Linked DNA regions of Saccharomyces cerevisiae S288C. The protein of the gene in region 1 binds, or shares a complex with, the protein of each later gene. Each region holds a gene or a part of one and is shown in the gene's direction. Other genes may lie near its edges.

Region 1 (3,353 bases):
TGCCGTATCATGTAGCCGGCTCTATTTGTCTCGATCAATTTACTGTAGTTTAAAACGTGCGGTAGTTGTCCCAACTTAAACGATTGAGCCCTTATACGTTGGAGAAAAGGTCGTAAGCTATATTGGTCTTTTGGTTTAATAAACACTTTGATAACAATTTCGCCGTTAGGGTCCAGTGCCTTGCATGTTTTTAAGAATCTTGATGAGTTTAACTGTGAAACGTAGTGTACTTCCTCTAAGACATCGATATATGAAAAAATGGCTATGGAAGGTGATGCTTGGACCACTAGTGATAATTGTGCCCCCATTATACTGTATGCCTTCCTTTTTGATAACCTTACAGCTTTTGTATTTCTCCAATTCAACTTGTCTGCTTAAGTATCTTACTTAAGATATATCTGTTTTTCATTTTTATGATGTTGAAAAATAAGGGAAATTTACCTTGTTTTCTACCGAAGATAAAATATAACGCAGACTGCACAGAGAAACTTTTGAAAGAAGATAGATTTATATATTTTATAATACCGGCTATATGTGTATAGAAGTTAGATTTCTGAACAGTACTCTTGGCTCAAGTTTTCCAATGGTACTGTCTCGTGGAAACCACAACGCTCGGTTAAAAGCTTTAGATTGTCCTCAGAAATTTTGGCGACCTTCTCATTATATAAACCACAGTATTCAAGAGCATCCTTTGGTTTGATGGTCTTTCTACCGTCCTTAAGGACGTATTTGGTCAATGATAATGAGCATAAGACGGTGCCCTTTTTAATTGTGAATCTACTCATGACGTAAATCCATTTCTCATCCCAACAGATAATCCTTGATGAAACCGAGTACTTTTGAAAAGGCTTGATTTCCTTCAAGAAATTAGTGAAAACGTTCGCAACTGGAATATATGGATAATGCTTGGAATTCAGCATCAATTTTTGAAAAATCTTGCACATGAGATTACCTCTTGAAATGTCCAATTCCGCAAAATAGGTGCTATTGCTCTTATGAAAGTAGAAGTCACATTCGAATGGAGAGGCATAGGTATCTAGGCTGGTGTACGAGAAACAGCCATATTCATTTTTCTCAAGTTTCTTAATATTCTCGGTTTCAAACCCTGTAAACATAGGCAAGAACAAGTTTTGAATAACATAATAATAAAACCTAACAAAATATGCCCCAGGAAGCGACTTATATGAAGAGAGCAAGTAAGCAGCAAAGAGCCACCTAAAAATAGTGCAAACACCCATTATTCTATTATTTTATTTTGTTGTAGATATTGGAAAGCACTAGTTACTCGAGAAACCTTTTGGAAGTCTTGAAATTAGAAGCAATTGTTTTACAAAATTACTAAAAAGCCTTTAAGCGGATAATTATAATGTTCACTTTATAACGGCGTTATTCGAAGATCATTATTGTCTCCTATACCCAAGAGGACCGAAGCCGGGTAGCGAACTTTGTTCTGGTAAAACAATCGCTTTCAAATAGAAGAAACGTTGCTTGATGACAGCATCTCCTGCAAAAAAGAGGTTGAGAAACAAATATCTCAGCTGTTGCTTCTTGTTGATCGAGATGACTATTAGGAGCAGTATGAAAAACAACGCAGAATTGGAAAGCAAGAGTGTGTTAGCTAATGAATCGAATATAATTAGCACATTTACTAGAAGGATAATAAAGGAAAAAAGCGGTAACTATCAGGTACTGAAAAGATCCCTTGATGGAAAACTAATCTATCCTGAGGCCACTGGCATATCCTCTAACAGAGGTAACAAACTTTTGCAGAGAAGCGAAGTAGTAACAAGAAGAGACTTGAACAATTCTAAGCCAATGATTGAGCAAACTGTGTTCTATAACGGTTCGGAGCATCGCCTTCTGCAAACAAATATTGTCACTGATAGTAGACGCAAAAGAATAAAATTCACACCTGACATCAACGTCGAGCCTGTTTTAGTCGGTGATGAAAACGACATCGATGGTAGTGAGAAGGAAGACGAAAATATCACTGATGAGTATTACGGCGAAGAAGACGATGACGACCTATCAAAACTAGTGAATGTAAAGGAGATTTTGACTCCCATTCTTTCCCTAGGGGATATAATAAATCATAAAACTATCTCAAGGACATTTTCAAGCCCAATTTTGAAAAATTTAGCCTTGCAAATAATTCTAATGATTGAAAAAGAACAGATGTCAGTTGTTAGATATTCCCAGTTTTTGGAGGTTTTTTTAGGAGATCATCCTGAACCAATTTATGAATCTAACTTGAACCTACCATCTTATAATCACAATTTGACCCTTCCAGAGGATAGAGGGGCAAGCGACGAGGATGACATTAACAACAAAAACAATATCAACGAGGTTAACTCGAATAGTTTGTCTACTGAAGCTGGTCATATCAATAATGGCATGGAAGAATTTGGAGAGGAAGATCCTTTTTTTGCATTGCCAAGGTTGGAACAATCTAATGCGCTGTTATCGTTGCTGCCATCTTCTTCCGGTTCTGCTTCTATATCAACATTAACAGCGGCCGAACAACAACAGTTAAATGAGGAAATTGAGTCTGCCCGACAGCTGTCGCAGATTGCACTACAGAGGAATAAAGAATTCATAAGAAACTTACAAAAAATCAGAAAGTCTGTAATAAAAGCCAATAGAATAAGAGGTAGGATTTTAAATTGGAGTCGGGAATATTTGGGTATATCTGACGATGATATTACTATCCCGGTGGCTCTACGTGTTGTGAAGAGAGGTCTGATCAGTGCTACAACAAATAAGACAACAAATTTTGAGGAAGAAATTGAAAATACCATGGAAGACGGTGTTGTAGACGATAATGAACCTGATGAAGAAGCTAATAGAGCCTAAATTGACAAAACAAAAAATTTCGGAAATAAAATCAAGGCATATGTATTATTTAGCACTATTTAGTAATAATAACAGTATTTTAGGATGGGTTCTTTTTTTTTTTTTGTTTCACCAACCGTTTGAAGTGTAATCAATGACTTTTACGAAGTTCGGGTCTGTTTCATCATCTGTCTTATTTCTATTCTCGTTAAAGATGGGGGTAACACAGTATTTGACAGTGTCATCAAATAATTCATCAATGAGGTTCTTCAAATCTTTCCCAGTTTGTTTGAAGTCTGGGAAAGCGTTGATCTCTAGTAATTTAACTTCGTAATTCGAATCAATCAAAAAGTCTACGCCATATGTTTCAAATGCGTTTGGTAACGGTTGGAAGTTTAATCTATTTACATTTACAGCAGCTAAGAAAACGTCGTTCGTTATGCTATGGATTTGCTCCTTAATATTGGACTTTCTCTCATTTGGAATTTCCTCTATGGAGTCAAACTCCAAAACAGAAGAAT
Region 2 (7,098 bases), on another chromosome or scaffold:
CCTCCTCTTCTTCTTCTTCTCGTTTCTTTTTTTCGTTCTCCTGTTCTTCCTTTTTAGTTGTTTTTACCTTTACATCACCATCTTCTTTCTTGATTTTTTTAGGCTTTGATGTCGCGCTTTTCTTTGCTGGAGGCGATGGTAATGACGACGATTGCACTGGTTCGGTCTTTATTTTCTTAGTCTTTTTCTTGGAAATCTTAGAGATTGCCTCATCACTATCATAAGGTTCCGCTTCGTCTTGAAGAGAGGCAGAGTTCATGGACGCCACCTTTCTTTTTTTTAAAGTTTGAGATAATGGCACATCGTCATCGTCATCAGAAGACAACTCATGATTAACTTTGGAAGCATCAGCAATAGTCATTTTTACGCGTTTCAAGTTTCGAGCTCTGCCCTCCCTTTAGATTTTTTTTATTTGCTGTTTTAATACTATAAGAATAGGACTCAGGTAATTAGAGTAACAGAGAAAACAAAAAAGAATATTGCGCTCGTGTTAGTGTTGAAACAAAAAAATACAGTTGTTCTTTACGTGCATCGATCATATAAGAAAAGGGAAAAAAGCCGTAAAGTAAAAAAATAAAGAGCTTTCCATGGCTGGTTTTTTTTCTTTTTTTTTTTTTTTTTTGAAGACTACAGCAGGTATTACCCGGAGTGAAAAAGGTTTCTCACACTAAAATTTACGTGTTCAAGACATTGAAGTTATGTATAAATATATATGAGCGTATATTATGTGTATGTCCGTTTCCATTCTGTTTAGATTTTATGGCTATAGTATTAAACTCCTATATATCAAAATGCGTCGTCGGCGGCTAGAGTTTGCAGGTTCCACTCGGTTTCGAAATTTGTCTTCAGGGCGCCAAGCTTGTTAATGATGCTGTTACAGGCGTTTTTCAAGGCATCCTTCGGGTCGTAGCCCTCGGTGGTCTGTATTCTCAGCTTGAAACGAGCGAAGAAGGGATGCTCAACCTTGTAAGCGGCAAACAGCACTTTTCTGTCGTTCAGAAGTTCTGCACGAATCAGGTTTCCCAACGTGTGGTCCTCCTTCTCAAACGTTATCACTACTGCGTTGGGGGCTTTGGTGTCGGGGTCAATCTTTAGCTTGGATTCCCCTTCACCCAGAAGGAACAGTTCGAATCTGTCTGGAGCATTCATGATGCAGTTGTGTCCAAATGTATCTGGTTTGGTGGCTACGTAGCTATCTATTTAGGCTGCACGGCTCAGTTCTCTCGCTCTTCTTTTAACGGACCTCTTGTGTGTGCCAAAGCAGTGAACCTAGAATTTTCGCGGACACTTCCACTTTATTAAGTCCGGGTAATGATAATATTGAGCTTGCAAGTTTTTTGAACTCGGATAGCAGCATTATCCATGACATGACACGGATCTACCGACGAGGCTTACCGACGAGGCTTACCGACGAGGCTTACCGTGATCCCTCTCCAGTAGTCTGTAAATTCTGTTTATAATTTAAAAAATCTATCTTCTACTCCAGTCTTGTAACTACTGTTGTTACGCGCTGCCCAGAGTGTGGCACACACTGCGGGGTTACCCGTGTAACGTAGAATAAACCAGTACGGGTAATGATATCGGATTTTCTAGTGATTTTTTTCCATTCGCAAAAAAGTCGCCTTCATTTTGCAGTTCTTCAGCAAACGTGATTTGCAAAACAACGGTTACTCCCCTTCCCTATTACATTTGTCTTCCCTTTTTCGCACCAGCATTGCTAATATTCGAGGCACCGTACCTAACTAATCAGCTCATTCACGTACCACATATTCTTTGTTACTTCCCTCCCTCCACAACAGGCTACGCTATTGACCGCTTTCAGTATAGTCTCTTTACCCTTTTGTTGTGTTCGTTTGAGGTTATTTGGAAAAGGACAAAATATCTAAGAAACAAGTTATACATTGTACAAAAATGTCACAGGTTTGGCATAATTCGAATTCGCAATCAAACGATGTGGCTACTTCAAATGACGCTACGGGTTCCAACGAAAGAAACGAAAAAGAACCGTCCCTCCAGGGAAATAAGCCCGGTTTTGTTCAACAGCAGCAACGGATTACTTTACCCTCGCTATCTGCCTTGAGTACTAAGGAGGAAGATAGAAGAGATTCCAATGGCCAACAGGCTCTAACTTCTCATGCTGCTCACATATTAGGTTATCCTCCCCCACATTCAAATGCTATGCCCTCAATTGCAACTGATTCAGCATTGAAACAGCCCCACGAGTATCACCCTCGCCCTAAATCTTCGTCCTCTTCTCCCTCTATAAACGCTTCGCTTATGAATGCTGGTCCAGCTCCCCTCCCCACAGTGGGAGCCGCCAGTTTTTCTTTGTCGAGATTTGACAATCCATTACCGATAAAAGCTCCTGTTCATACAGAGGAACCAAAAAGTTATAATGGTCTTCAGGAAGAAGAAAAGGCGACGCAACGGCCTCAAGATTGCAAGGAAGTTCCCGCTGGTGTGCAGCCTGCTGATGCCCCTGACCCTAGCAGCAACCATGCAGATGCTAACGATGACAATAATAACAACGAAAATTCTCACGATGAAGATGCTGACTACAGACCTCTAAACGTGAAGGATGCCCTATCTTACCTCGAACAGGTCAAATTTCAATTTAGTTCGCGTCCGGATATCTATAATTTATTTTTAGATATTATGAAGGACTTTAAATCTCAGGCAATAGACACACCGGGCGTTATTGAAAGAGTATCCACTTTGTTCAGAGGTTATCCAATTTTGATTCAAGGGTTCAATACTTTTCTACCCCAAGGCTATAGAATCGAATGCTCCTCTAATCCGGACGACCCCATTAGAGTTACTACACCAATGGGTACTACGACAGTAAACAATAACATCAGTCCATCTGGTAGAGGTACAACGGATGCACAGGAACTTGGTTCTTTTCCAGAAAGCGATGGAAATGGTGTTCAACAGCCCTCCAATGTGCCAATGGTGCCTTCGAGTGTGTATCAATCGGAACAAAACCAAGACCAACAACAATCTTTGCCTCTTTTAGCTACTTCTTCTGGTTTACCTTCAATTCAACAACCTGAAATGCCTGCACATCGCCAAATCCCACAAAGTCAATCTTTAGTGCCTCAAGAAGATGCTAAGAAAAACGTTGATGTCGAATTTAGTCAAGCCATAAGCTACGTTAATAAAATTAAAACTAGATTTGCCGACCAACCTGATATTTACAAGCATTTTCTGGAAATACTACAAACTTATCAGCGAGAGCAAAAGCCAATAAACGAAGTCTACGCACAAGTGACGCATCTTTTCCAAAATGCTCCTGATTTACTAGAAGATTTCAAGAAATTCTTGCCGGACTCTTCAGCTTCTGCCAATCAGCAGGTGCAACATGCTCAGCAACATGCTCAACAACAACATGAGGCCCAAATGCATGCACAGGCACAAGCTCAGGCTCAGGCACAGGCACAGGTGGAACAACAGAAGCAGCAACAGCAATTCTTGTATCCAGCTTCGGGCTATTACGGCCATCCTTCTAACCGAGGTATTCCACAGCAAAACTTGCCTCCTATAGGAAGCTTCTCGCCTCCAACAAACGGTTCGACCGTACATGAAGCCTATCAGGATCAACAGCACATGCAACCACCCCACTTCATGCCCTTACCATCGATCGTTCAACACGGGCCAAATATGGTACATCAAGGGATAGCGAATGAAAATCCACCTCTATCAGATCTAAGAACGTCTCTCACTGAACAGTACGCTCCTTCTAGTATACAACATCAGCAGCAGCACCCGCAAAGTATTAGTCCTATAGCAAATACGCAGTATGGTGATATCCCTGTTAGACCGGAAATTGATTTAGATCCTAGCATTGTGCCTGTGGTCCCTGAACCCACTGAGCCCATCGAAAACAATATATCGCTTAATGAGGAAGTCACTTTCTTCGAAAAGGCCAAGAGGTATATCGGCAATAAACATTTATACACTGAGTTTTTGAAAATTTTAAATTTGTACTCTCAAGATATACTTGATCTTGACGATTTAGTGGAAAAGGTAGATTTCTACTTGGGTTCCAATAAAGAACTATTTACGTGGTTCAAAAACTTTGTTGGCTACCAAGAAAAAACCAAATGTATCGAGAATATTGTTCATGAAAAACATAGATTGGATTTAGATTTATGTGAGGCATTTGGCCCAAGTTACAAGAGGCTACCAAAAAGTGACACTTTCATGCCATGCTCAGGTAGGGATGATATGTGTTGGGAAGTCTTGAACGATGAATGGGTTGGACATCCTGTATGGGCTTCCGAAGATTCGGGATTTATTGCTCATCGTAAAAACCAGTATGAGGAAACACTATTCAAGATCGAAGAGGAAAGACATGAGTATGATTTTTACATTGAATCAAATTTAAGAACTATTCAATGTTTGGAAACAATTGTAAATAAGATCGAGAACATGACTGAGAATGAAAAAGCCAATTTTAAACTGCCTCCAGGTCTTGGCCATACTTCAATGACTATTTATAAAAAAGTGATAAGGAAAGTTTATGATAAGGAAAGGGGGTTCGAGATTATTGATGCTTTGCATGAGCACCCTGCAGTGACAGCCCCAGTCGTTCTGAAAAGGTTAAAGCAAAAAGACGAAGAATGGAGAAGAGCTCAACGTGAATGGAATAAAGTTTGGAGGGAGTTAGAACAGAAGGTTTTTTTCAAGTCATTAGATCATTTAGGCTTAACATTTAAACAGGCTGACAAGAAATTATTAACTACAAAGCAGTTGATATCAGAGATTAGCAGCATCAAAGTTGATCAAACAAACAAAAAAATTCACTGGTTAACTCCTAAACCAAAGAGCCAGTTAGATTTTGATTTCCCTGATAAAAACATTTTCTATGATATCTTGTGTTTGGCTGACACTTTTATAACCCATACCACAGCCTATTCTAATCCCGATAAAGAAAGATTGAAAGATTTACTAAAATACTTCATCTCTTTGTTTTTTTCTATTTCTTTCGAAAAAATCGAAGAATCGTTGTACTCCCATAAGCAAAACGTGTCAGAATCTAGCGGATCTGACGATGGCAGTTCTATTGCATCAAGGAAGAGGCCCTATCAACAAGAAATGAGTTTACTTGATATTTTACACAGGAGCAGATATCAAAAGCTAAAGCGTTCTAATGATGAAGATGGCAAAGTTCCCCAGCTCTCTGAACCACCCGAAGAAGAACCTAATACCATTGAGGAGGAAGAGCTCATCGATGAAGAAGCTAAAAATCCGTGGCTAACTGGGAATTTAGTGGAGGAAGCAAACTCTCAGGGTATTATCCAAAATCGCAGTATTTTTAATCTATTCGCTAATACGAATATTTACATATTTTTCCGTCATTGGACAACGATTTATGAGCGGCTTTTGGAAATTAAGCAAATGAATGAAAGGGTCACAAAGGAAATCAACACAAGGTCGACAGTTACTTTTGCCAAAGATCTAGATTTATTATCGAGTCAACTTTCCGAAATGGGACTAGATTTTGTTGGTGAAGACGCGTACAAACAGGTTTTAAGACTGAGTAGAAGGTTGATTAATGGGGATCTTGAACATCAGTGGTTTGAAGAGAGTTTGCGGCAAGCTTACAATAACAAAGCGTTTAAACTCTATACAATTGATAAAGTCACCCAATCGTTGGTAAAGCATGCTCATACCTTGATGACTGACGCTAAAACTGCGGAAATAATGGCTTTGTTCGTTAAAGATAGAAATGCCTCCACCACGAGTGCGAAGGACCAAATTATCTATCGCTTGCAGGTGCGCTCACATATGTCCAACACAGAAAATATGTTTAGAATAGAGTTTGATAAAAGAACTCTGCATGTTTCCATTCAATATATTGCACTTGATGATTTGACACTAAAGGAACCAAAGGCAGACGAAGATAAATGGAAATATTATGTAACATCGTATGCTCTGCCACATCCAACAGAAGGCATTCCGCACGAGAAACTGAAGATACCATTTTTGGAAAGGCTCATCGAATTTGGACAAGATATTGATGGAACAGAGGTAGATGAGGAGTTTTCCCCCGAAGGCATCTCTGTATCGACATTGAAAATTAAGATCCAGCCTATAACCTACCAACTGCATATTGAAAACGGGTCTTACGATGTTTTTACCCGTAAGGCTACTAACAAATATCCTACTATTGCTAATGATAATACTCAAAAAGGAATGGTTTCTCAGAAGAAGGAGTTGATATCAAAATTTCTAGACTGTGCAGTTGGTTTGAGAAATAATTTAGATGAGGCTCAAAAATTAAGTATGCAAAAAAAATGGGAGAACCTAAAAGACAGCATAGCAAAGACGAGTGCTGGAAACCAGGGAATAGAGAGTGAAACCGAAAAAGGTAAAATTACGAAACAGGAGCAGTCGGATAATTTGGACAGCTCTACTGCAAGTGTACTGCCTGCATCCATTACTACTGTACCACAAGATGATAATATAGAAACGACTGGGAATACTGAATCTTCAGACAAGGGGGCTAAGATTCAATAAGTAGTTTTAACTAGATTTAGAACAAAAATCTTTAGTACGACAGGGTCTTTCTTCTGATGTGTACCTTTAATTAATGTCAACGATATAACATTGTAATTTTAAAATTCTAAGTGTTTTTGAAGCTTTTTAAGACACATCGATCTTTCCATAAAGGAAGAAGTGATAACATGCAGTGGTTATATTTGTGTACTCATACACTGGTGCATGAATCTTTTTACACGTCATTAGCATAGTATGTAATCGAAAGGACACTATTTATAAGGGACAGTTTATACATACATATACTTGATATTCCCATGAATGAGTATTCTATTCCATATCAACATCCACTCCAAAATCGTCTAGTGATTCACCCCAGTCGTTGTACCACTTCTCACGAGAAGCATGTCTGCCATTTTGAGGAAGTCTGGTCCTTATTAGCTGTTCGCCACTTTCATTACGCATCTCTATTGTTGAGCTGCCATGATTGAAGACGGTGTTTGTTTTACCTCCATCTGGTGGCCAGGGAAGTGAAAGGATGTGGTCTTCCAATGAGGAGTTAGCCTCATATTTTGAAATACCGTTTTTTGGAAAATT
Region 3 (3,491 bases), on another chromosome or scaffold:
ACAACATGTTCCATGATATGGAAAAACGTATACCAGTGCTACAAACCCTGTTAACAATTAAATTCTTATTACTTCTTGCACAAAGATGCTAACACTTTACAGCTTTGAAAGTAACAGGAAGAAGTGATGCTGTGACAATTAACAGGGTATTTTTTTTTTCACTTCTACTTAAATCGGAGTTACAATTTATGATAAAAAAATCAAGAAAAAAACCTGATTATGCTAAGAAAGTAGAGGCGACGATGACCACCTATGGCCTAACCTAACTATGAACAGATGGTAGGCTCTAAATTGCGTGCCTGAAATCTGCGGATTTGATATGTAGGCGATGTTTTGGGTATTTTCCACCAACTTTATTGGCAAGGGAAGAATTCGATGACCCGAATTCGCCAAACGACAAAAACTGGAGGAGTGACCTATTGTTAACGTTTTTTTTTTTTTTTTAAAGGCATTGTCATCAACAGGACATCTGTATAAGAGGCTAAGACAATTACGCACACAACGCTTTTATTAGTTGTCATAAACTGTGTAGATTAGCAGCAGACACTCCTTTTTTTCTTCATACTATAGCAATGCCACCTCTACCCGTGCTCAACAGACCTCAAATTCATACGTCTGTTACTGAAATAAGTCATGCAATTGATCGTACAATCAAGGAAGAGCTCTTTCCCGTTGCCTACACTACTGAAGAAGAGCAATATTTCAAAACTAACCCTAAACCTGCCTATATCGATGAATTGATTAAGGACGCTAAAGAGTTTATTGATTTGCAGTATTCCCTGAAAAGGAACAAAATAGTTCTTATCACCTCTGGTGGTACTACTGTTCCATTGGAAAACAATACAGTACGTTTTATCGATAATTTTTCTGCAGGTACTCGTGGTGCATCGAGTGCTGAACAGTTCTTAGCGAACGGATATAGTGTTATTTTCTTACATAGGGAATTCTCATTAACTCCGTATAATAGGTCCTTCTCCCATAGCATTAATACTTTATTCTTGGACTACATTGATTCTGAAGGTAAAATCAAACCTGAATTTGCTGAGAATGTTTTGAAGAACAAAAAGCTTTATGACAAGTATATGGAGAAAGAGGAGAAACTACTTTTACTACCATTCACCACGGTCAACCAATACTTATGGTCACTGAAAAGTATAGCCAAGCTATTGAATAATAGTGGTTGCTTGTTTTATTTAGCTGCTGCTGTCAGTGATTTTTTTGTTCCATATTCAAGACTACCTCAGCACAAGATTCAATCAGGAGACAACGGTAAGATGGGAGCAAATAATGACACTGAAGGTACAACTAGGACTACGCCTGATGGTAAACTGATTGTGAATCTTGACCCTGTCCCTAAGTTTTTGAGAAGATTAGTGGAATCATGGGCCACTCAAGCGATGATCGTTTCGTTCAAATTAGAAACTGATGAATCCATGCTGCTTTACAAATGTACACAAGCCCTGGATAGATACAACCATCAACTGGTTATCGGAAACCTTTTACAGACAAGAAACAAACAGGTCATTTTCGTATCCCCTGAAAACAGAAAGGGAGATTGGGTACGTTTGGATGAAAAACACCATAGCATTGAAGAGATGATAATCCCAGAAGTCATCGCACGCCATGACAAATGGGTGGCGCATTCGAAAACTAAGCTAGCTACGAAATAAAACATAGCTCTTGTCTGTAATCAAAAAAATTTGCGTCAAAAAAAAAAATTAGATGTATGTAAACCTTTTTATTGAACTGAAAATTTATCTTTTATCAAATCTTTTTCTTCTATGCCTTAATTATGTTTTCAGGTATCTTTTTTCTCATTATTTAATTTAGCTTATGTATTGATCATTTCGCTTGAGATTTCAGGAAGAAAAAACGCAAACAATTTTTCAGCTAAAATGAACCCTTGGAAAAGCTTTAAGAGAACAAGAGAAACTGTAGAGCTCAGTGTGCATTGTCTTCAAGATTGATGGCTATTCAAAAGGTTAGTAACAAGGACTTGTCCCGCAAGGACAAAAGAAGATTTAATATCGAATCTAAAGTTAATAAGATTTATCAAAATTTTTACTCAGAAAGAGATAATCAATATAAAGATAGACTGACAGCATTGCAAACGGATTTAACTTCTCTGCATCAAGGTGATAATGGCCAATATGCCCGCCAAGTACGAGATTTGGAGGAAGAAAGAGATCTAGAGTTAGTCAGGTTGCGCCTGTTTGAAGAGTACCGTGTTTCTCGTTCCGGTATCGAATTTCAAGAAGATATTGAAAAGGCTAAGGCTGAACACGAGAAACTCATTAAATTATGCAAAGAAAGACTGTATTCGTCTATAGAGCAAAAAATAAAGAAATTACAGGAGGAGAGGTTACTAATGGATGTGGCCAATGTGCACTCCTATGCCATGAATTATAGCAGACCGCAATACCAGAAGAACACGAGAAGTCACACAGTAAGTGGTTGGGATTCTTCGTCCAACGAATATGGAAGAGATACAGCAAACGAAAGTGCTACTGACACGGGAGCTGGAAACGATAGAAGAACGCTAAGGAGAAGGAATGCTTCTAAAGACACGAGAGGTAACAACAACAATCAAGATGAATCTGATTTTCAAACTGGTAATGGTTCTGGAAGTAATGGCCATGGTTCTAGACAAGGGTCGCAATTCCCCCATTTCAACAACCTAACCTACAAGTCAGGCATGAACTCTGACTCAGATTTTCTACAAGGTATAAATGAAGGTACTGATCTATATGCATTTTTGTTTGGCGAAAAGAACCCCAAAGACAATGCTAATGGGAATGAAAAGAAAAAAAACCGTGGTGCTCAACGATATTCCACCAAAACAGCTCCACCTTTACAGTCTTTGAAACCAGATGAGGTCACAGAGGATATTTCCTTGATCAGAGAATTAACAGGTCAGCCTCCGGCTCCTTTCAGACTAAGGTCTGACTAATTTATTTTATGCTGCAAACCTTCCACTTTAACTTTGTATTATATTACATTAGATGGTTATATTTCAATGTGAGCTCTTTTTGTTTTTGCTTTCTTTTCTCGGATACAAGTGGAAAACGAAAAAAAAAAATTGGCTAAAATTTACTGTATACATCAGGCTAACAATCTGTGATTATAGGCACAGTTGTACCAAAGAAGGGCTAGAATATACATCATAATTAGATGCAATTAGCATGGCTATAAGATTGAATCCAAAAGTCAGAAGGTTCTTGCTGGATAAGTGTCGACAAAAACGATATGGTTTCCTCTTTTTAGGATGTATCTTCGCCATACTTTACTGTATGGGGACCTGGCCATTTTTCGCAAAAGATATTGTACATGATCCAAATAATTTGCCTTATTCCTTACAGGATTATTCGACTGACAAAGACGAGCCATTTTTCCGGGGCTGCACTGATACAAAGCTGTACTTGCAAAATCCTGCTTACTCCAAAATGAACGCATCTTTCGTTATGCTAACGAGAAACGAAGAAATAGAAGAC
Region 4 (3,442 bases), on another chromosome or scaffold:
AACTGGAAAGGACAAGAATAGATTTATAAACGGGTGATAAGATTAATGGTATAGTGAGTTCACTCTGCCGATAGTTCTTGTCATTTCTTTAGCTTCTTGCTGCTCTATGTTTTGCTGAAAGCGAATGAATTATGGACTTTTAATGATGAAGATTTTAATTTTCCGTTGGTCTATTAAGAACAGAAGTACTTCAAAACTACTTTTTAAGACCATCCTTTTACAGTATTTTTTCAATATTGTAAAACTTCTCATTTACTTTGTGTCTTTATGATCTCATCGTTCTGGTGGACCATAATCAGACGCACGGTATACTTCGTTTCTGTTGGAGAATATTGGGAGTCTTTTAATGTGATGAGTGGCCAACATAACCTTATAGTCATAGTTACACTGATTTATCCATTTTTATCGCCTTCACTTATACGTAGACTTGCATCTTTTAAATAATTCGAAGGTAACCCTTTGTACAAGCGTAGCAGATGATATCATTGATAAAAATTGATCTGAGTGCCCCGCTTCAATGAATACAGAAGTCTTGGCTTGAGTACAAGAGATTTATACAAATCGAAAATGTTTACTTTATATTTATTAATATAAAATGAGTATTATTTTTATTTAATTGATTTAAGCATCTTCTTCGACAACAACAGTTTGTAGACCCTTGGCAGAAGCAACTAAGACAGGTTCAACGTAGGAGAACAATGGGTTCTTGGCGTCTTCTTCTTCGTTTCTCTTTCTGGAAATTCTCAATCTTAATCTGTATTCAACACCCTTGACACCTCTCTTCCAGATAGCTTGGTTCAATTCTGGAGCTAGACGGACATCATCAGTACCCATGTGTAACTTGGCGAACTTCTTAATTTCCTTGACAGCTCTTGGAGCTCTCTTCTTGAAGGAGACACCGTGCAACTATTAAAAATAAAATGGTAAATTTTTTGTTAGTAACGATTGTTCATTTTAATATTAGTGTAATCTTGATGAATGGTTTTGTATATTGGAGACCCAATTTGTTCTGATTCATATTTAGTCAAACTTGGGATATGGATAATTGTCGACTTAAAATCTAGGATTCCACTATTTAAGATAACTATTTCTGTCTTCATCGCTCTTTAAGTCCAGCCGAAGTGTATCTTTCCCCTCTTGGATGTTATAATATTGATTATGGTCTTCAAATTCCGTATTATAAAATATATCTTGATCAATGATCTTTGTTGATAGGTTTCTGTGGTACAAATTCTTGATATTGTATTCCTTGACTATAGAAATATCTTCTTAATTAACCATTCAGATGACAAGCCCTTGGGCATTATATTTTTATTCTTTCACATACTCTTTTGTGCAAGTTAATGGTGTATTCACGAGTGACAACGTCTTTCAAACCGGCCATTTTTCCTTTGATTGAGTTCTGTTTGCTTATTAATTCTTTCTTTAAAACTTGAATGAAATTATCACTAGTTATAAAATCTTCAATATAATTCAATACTATCTTTCAAGCTATGAGATTCAACCCGCCTAATGCGAGCATGAGTAAAGTCAAGCTATGTCTGCCTGCGCAGTTGGGAGAACGAAAATGCCAGAAAGAAAAGCCGCAAACCTGAACGGAGCTTTCCCATCCTCCGCCTGCGCAAGAATGATCCACCATCGAGAGAAAGCCTTTCTGGGCTCTCCCACTTCCTTCCGTTGCAAAACTGTCGCCTAGCGTTTCAAAACTGTCCACGAAGGCAGATTGTCCAAAAAAAAAAGCACCACAAATCATTTCTCAATTTCAGAATACAAAGGTATGGGGGTAAAAATAAAGATTGGTGTACGGAGGTAAAGGTATGAAAATATTGTGAATAATGGAAAAAGGGCCCAGAAGGGGAGAGGTTCGGGAAAACAAAATATAGTATCAGCACTTCATGAATGTAGAACACAAGAATAAGCATCTCCATTCCGGCATCAAGTGCTATAGAATTCCATGACAGCGTTTTGACAAATAACGGTATTTTAGTACGAAGGTAAGGGAAAATTTACTCGCAGTTTTTTTTTTGAGAGAAGTAACAATACAATATAAGATAAAAATGTCGGTAAGCGAACAAGATCCTAATAGGGCGTACAGAGAGACTCAATCCCAGATATATAAACTACAGGAAACACTACTAAATTCGGCGAGAACAAAAAATAAGCAAGAGGAGGGACAAGAAAGCAACACCCATTCTTTTCCAGAGCAGTATATGCATTACCAAAACGGCAGAAATTCGGCCTACGACCTGCCTAATGTAAGTTCACAGTCGGTTCTTGCTTTCACTGAGAAACACTATCCAAACAAGTTAAAAAACTTGGGTACACTTTATTACAATCGTTTCAAAGAAGGGTCTTTTGATGAAGACTCCACAAGTTACTCAGACAGGCACAGTTTTCCATACAACCTTTATGACAACACTCTTCCACCACCGTTCCTTCCAGCTATCGGTATTCAAAATATCAATAATATTGCAACGCTAAAAATAACATATGAAGATATTCAGGCAAGTTTCAATAATATAGAATCTCCTAGAAAGAGAAATAATGAGATATGGGGATGTGATATCTATTCTGATGACTCAGACCCAATACTAGTTTTAAGACATTGCGGGTTCAAAATTGGAGCGCCTTCTGGTGGCTCATTTCACAAATTGAGAAGAACCCCTGTAAATGTAACTAATCAAGATAATGTTACAGGTAACCTTCCCCTACTGGAAGGCACACCTTTTGATCTAGAGGTGGAGTTGTTGTTTTTGCCTACTCTACAAAAGTATCCTAGCGTAAAAAGATTTGATATAACATCGCGGGAATGGGGATCGGAAGCCACCGTTATACACGATGGACTGAGTTACGGTATCTATAGTATTGTCATTAAGCAAAGACTAGATAGAGATAAACCTCATGAACCAAACGGGTATATTAAAAATTTAAAATGGACCTAAGGAAAGACATAATATTGGTCGTCCTTCTTTCCCTTCCAACCTTAGTTGGCGCCATGTGTGTATTTAATTTAATTCAAAATATCATTCTGCTGCGCTACTTCTGTATTATTGCTTTGAGGAATATACGATGCGTTGTACTATATAACAAAAGCTTCACTTTATAAGTTTCTATAACTGGATAGTTTGGTTGTCTCACTCTCCTGCAAATTCATACTCTTCTTCCATACATTAACATGCCGTCCTAGGTGCTTGCTTTTTTAATTAGACTGGTTATAATATGTGTAACTAAGCCATTTTCGGGGCCCTCAGATTATATTAATTCCGAATCGGTAGTAAACGATATTTTATGAAAAGGACCCCAGGGCGCCAAACAAAACGTGGACTGTGACAAACTCTGCCAAAAGTCAAGCTCTAATCGTGTAAATCTTACCAATTGAGAGCGATTCCTGTAATTAGGTTTACGGCTGTTCAATTATCTTTTCAACCGGACGGGTCTTATA

Evidence for each region.
Region 2: the proteins of RXT2 (region 1) and SIN3 are in contact, whole or in part, in a cryo-EM structure (PDB 8HPO), measured with the Saccharomyces cerevisiae proteins. Residues at the interface, in NP_009653.2 of Saccharomyces cerevisiae: Glu22 (codon at 1,624), Ile25 (codon at 1,633), Ile26 (codon at 1,636), Ser27 (codon at 1,639), Thr28 (codon at 1,642), Phe29 (codon at 1,645), Thr30 (codon at 1,648), Arg31 (codon at 1,651), Arg32 (codon at 1,654), Ile33 (codon at 1,657), Ile34 (codon at 1,660), Lys35 (codon at 1,663), Lys37 (codon at 1,669), Ser38 (codon at 1,672), Tyr41 (codon at 1,681), Pro55 (codon at 1,723), Glu56 (codon at 1,726), Thr58 (codon at 1,732), Gly59 (codon at 1,735), Ile60 (codon at 1,738), Leu69 (codon at 1,765), Arg77 (codon at 1,789), Arg78 (codon at 1,792), Met86 (codon at 1,816), Glu88 (codon at 1,822), Tyr93 (codon at 1,837), Asn94 (codon at 1,840), Arg99 (codon at 1,855), Leu101 (codon at 1,861), Gln102 (codon at 1,864); in NP_014639.1 of Saccharomyces cerevisiae: Pro650 (codon at 3,859), Thr653 (codon at 3,868), Glu654 (codon at 3,871), Ile656 (codon at 3,877), Asn658 (codon at 3,883), Asn659 (codon at 3,886), Ile660 (codon at 3,889), Ser661 (codon at 3,892), Leu662 (codon at 3,895), Glu665 (codon at 3,904), Phe669 (codon at 3,916), Tyr682 (codon at 3,955), Leu686 (codon at 3,967), Leu689 (codon at 3,976), Asn690 (codon at 3,979), Tyr692 (codon at 3,985), Ser693 (codon at 3,988), Asp695 (codon at 3,994), Leu702 (codon at 4,015), Phe720 (codon at 4,069), Phe723 (codon at 4,078), Val724 (codon at 4,081), Arg742 (codon at 4,135), Trp788 (codon at 4,273), His798 (codon at 4,303), Arg799 (codon at 4,306), Lys800 (codon at 4,309), Gln802 (codon at 4,315), Glu805 (codon at 4,324), Thr806 (codon at 4,327).
Region 3: RXT2 (region 1) and SDS3 share a complex: the UniProt entries of both Saccharomyces cerevisiae proteins name them as parts of the RPD3C(L) complex.
Region 4: the proteins of RXT2 (region 1) and RXT3 are in contact, whole or in part, in a cryo-EM structure (PDB 8GA8), measured with the Saccharomyces cerevisiae proteins. Residues at the interface, in NP_009653.2 of Saccharomyces cerevisiae: Tyr54 (codon at 1,720), Ser62 (codon at 1,744), Asn63 (codon at 1,747), Arg64 (codon at 1,750), Gly65 (codon at 1,753), Lys67 (codon at 1,759), Leu68 (codon at 1,762), Ser72 (codon at 1,774), Glu73 (codon at 1,777), Val74 (codon at 1,780), Val75 (codon at 1,783), Thr76 (codon at 1,786), Arg77 (codon at 1,789); in NP_010207.1 of Saccharomyces cerevisiae: Pro125 (codon at 2,430), Leu127 (codon at 2,436), Pro128 (codon at 2,439), Ala129 (codon at 2,442), Arg161 (codon at 2,538), Asn162 (codon at 2,541), Glu164 (codon at 2,547), Trp166 (codon at 2,553), Ser172 (codon at 2,571), Asp173 (codon at 2,574), Asp174 (codon at 2,577), Tyr239 (codon at 2,772), Arg250 (codon at 2,805), Trp252 (codon at 2,811), Ala256 (codon at 2,823), Thr257 (codon at 2,826), Val258 (codon at 2,829), Ile259 (codon at 2,832), His260 (codon at 2,835), Asp261 (codon at 2,838), Gly262 (codon at 2,841).

The regions. Positions count from the first base shown.
Region 1 is NC_001134.8:433,906-437,258, reverse strand, and holds RXT2 (Rxt2p), read left to right. Parts: upstream 1-1,560; coding exon 1,561-2,853; downstream 2,854-3,353. Other genes in the region: ubiquitin-binding serine/threonine protein kinase VPS15, read right to left, coding at 1-308; YBR096W (uncharacterized protein), read right to left, coding at 546-1,238; PBY1 (putative tubulin tyrosine ligase), read right to left, coding at 2,962-3,353. UniProt on the Saccharomyces cerevisiae protein: Component of the RPD3C(L) histone deacetylase complex (HDAC) responsible for the deacetylation of lysine residues on the N-terminal part of the core histones (H2A, H2B, H3 and H4).
Region 2 is NC_001147.6:315,027-322,124, forward strand, and holds SIN3 (transcriptional regulator SIN3), read left to right. Parts: upstream 1-1,911; coding exon 1,912-6,522; downstream 6,523-7,098. Other genes in the region: TOP1 (DNA topoisomerase 1), read right to left, coding at 1-361; DNA-directed RNA polymerase II core subunit RPB11, read right to left, coding at 787-1,149; palmitoyltransferase PFA4, read right to left, coding at 6,832-7,098. UniProt on the Saccharomyces cerevisiae protein: Catalytic component of the RPD3 histone deacetylase complexes RPD3C(L) and RPD3C(S) responsible for the deacetylation of lysine residues on the N-terminal part of the core histones (H2A, H2B, H3 and H4).
Region 3 is NC_001141.2:201,735-205,225, reverse strand, and holds SDS3 (Sds3p), read left to right. Parts: upstream 1-1,966; coding exon 1,967-2,950; downstream 2,951-3,491. Other genes in the region: phosphopantothenate--cysteine ligase CAB2, read left to right, coding at 573-1,670; KTR7 (putative mannosyltransferase), read left to right, coding at 3,183-3,491. UniProt on the Saccharomyces cerevisiae protein: Component of the RPD3C(L) histone deacetylase complex (HDAC) responsible for the deacetylation of lysine residues on the N-terminal part of the core histones (H2A, H2B, H3 and H4).
Region 4 is NC_001136.10:320,168-323,609, reverse strand, and holds RXT3 (Rxt3p), read left to right. Parts: upstream 1-2,057; coding exon 2,058-2,942; downstream 2,943-3,442. Other genes in the region: 60S ribosomal protein eL31 RPL31A, read right to left, coding at 622-906, 1,328-1,384. UniProt on the Saccharomyces cerevisiae protein: Component of the RPD3C(L) histone deacetylase complex (HDAC) responsible for the deacetylation of lysine residues on the N-terminal part of the core histones (H2A, H2B, H3 and H4).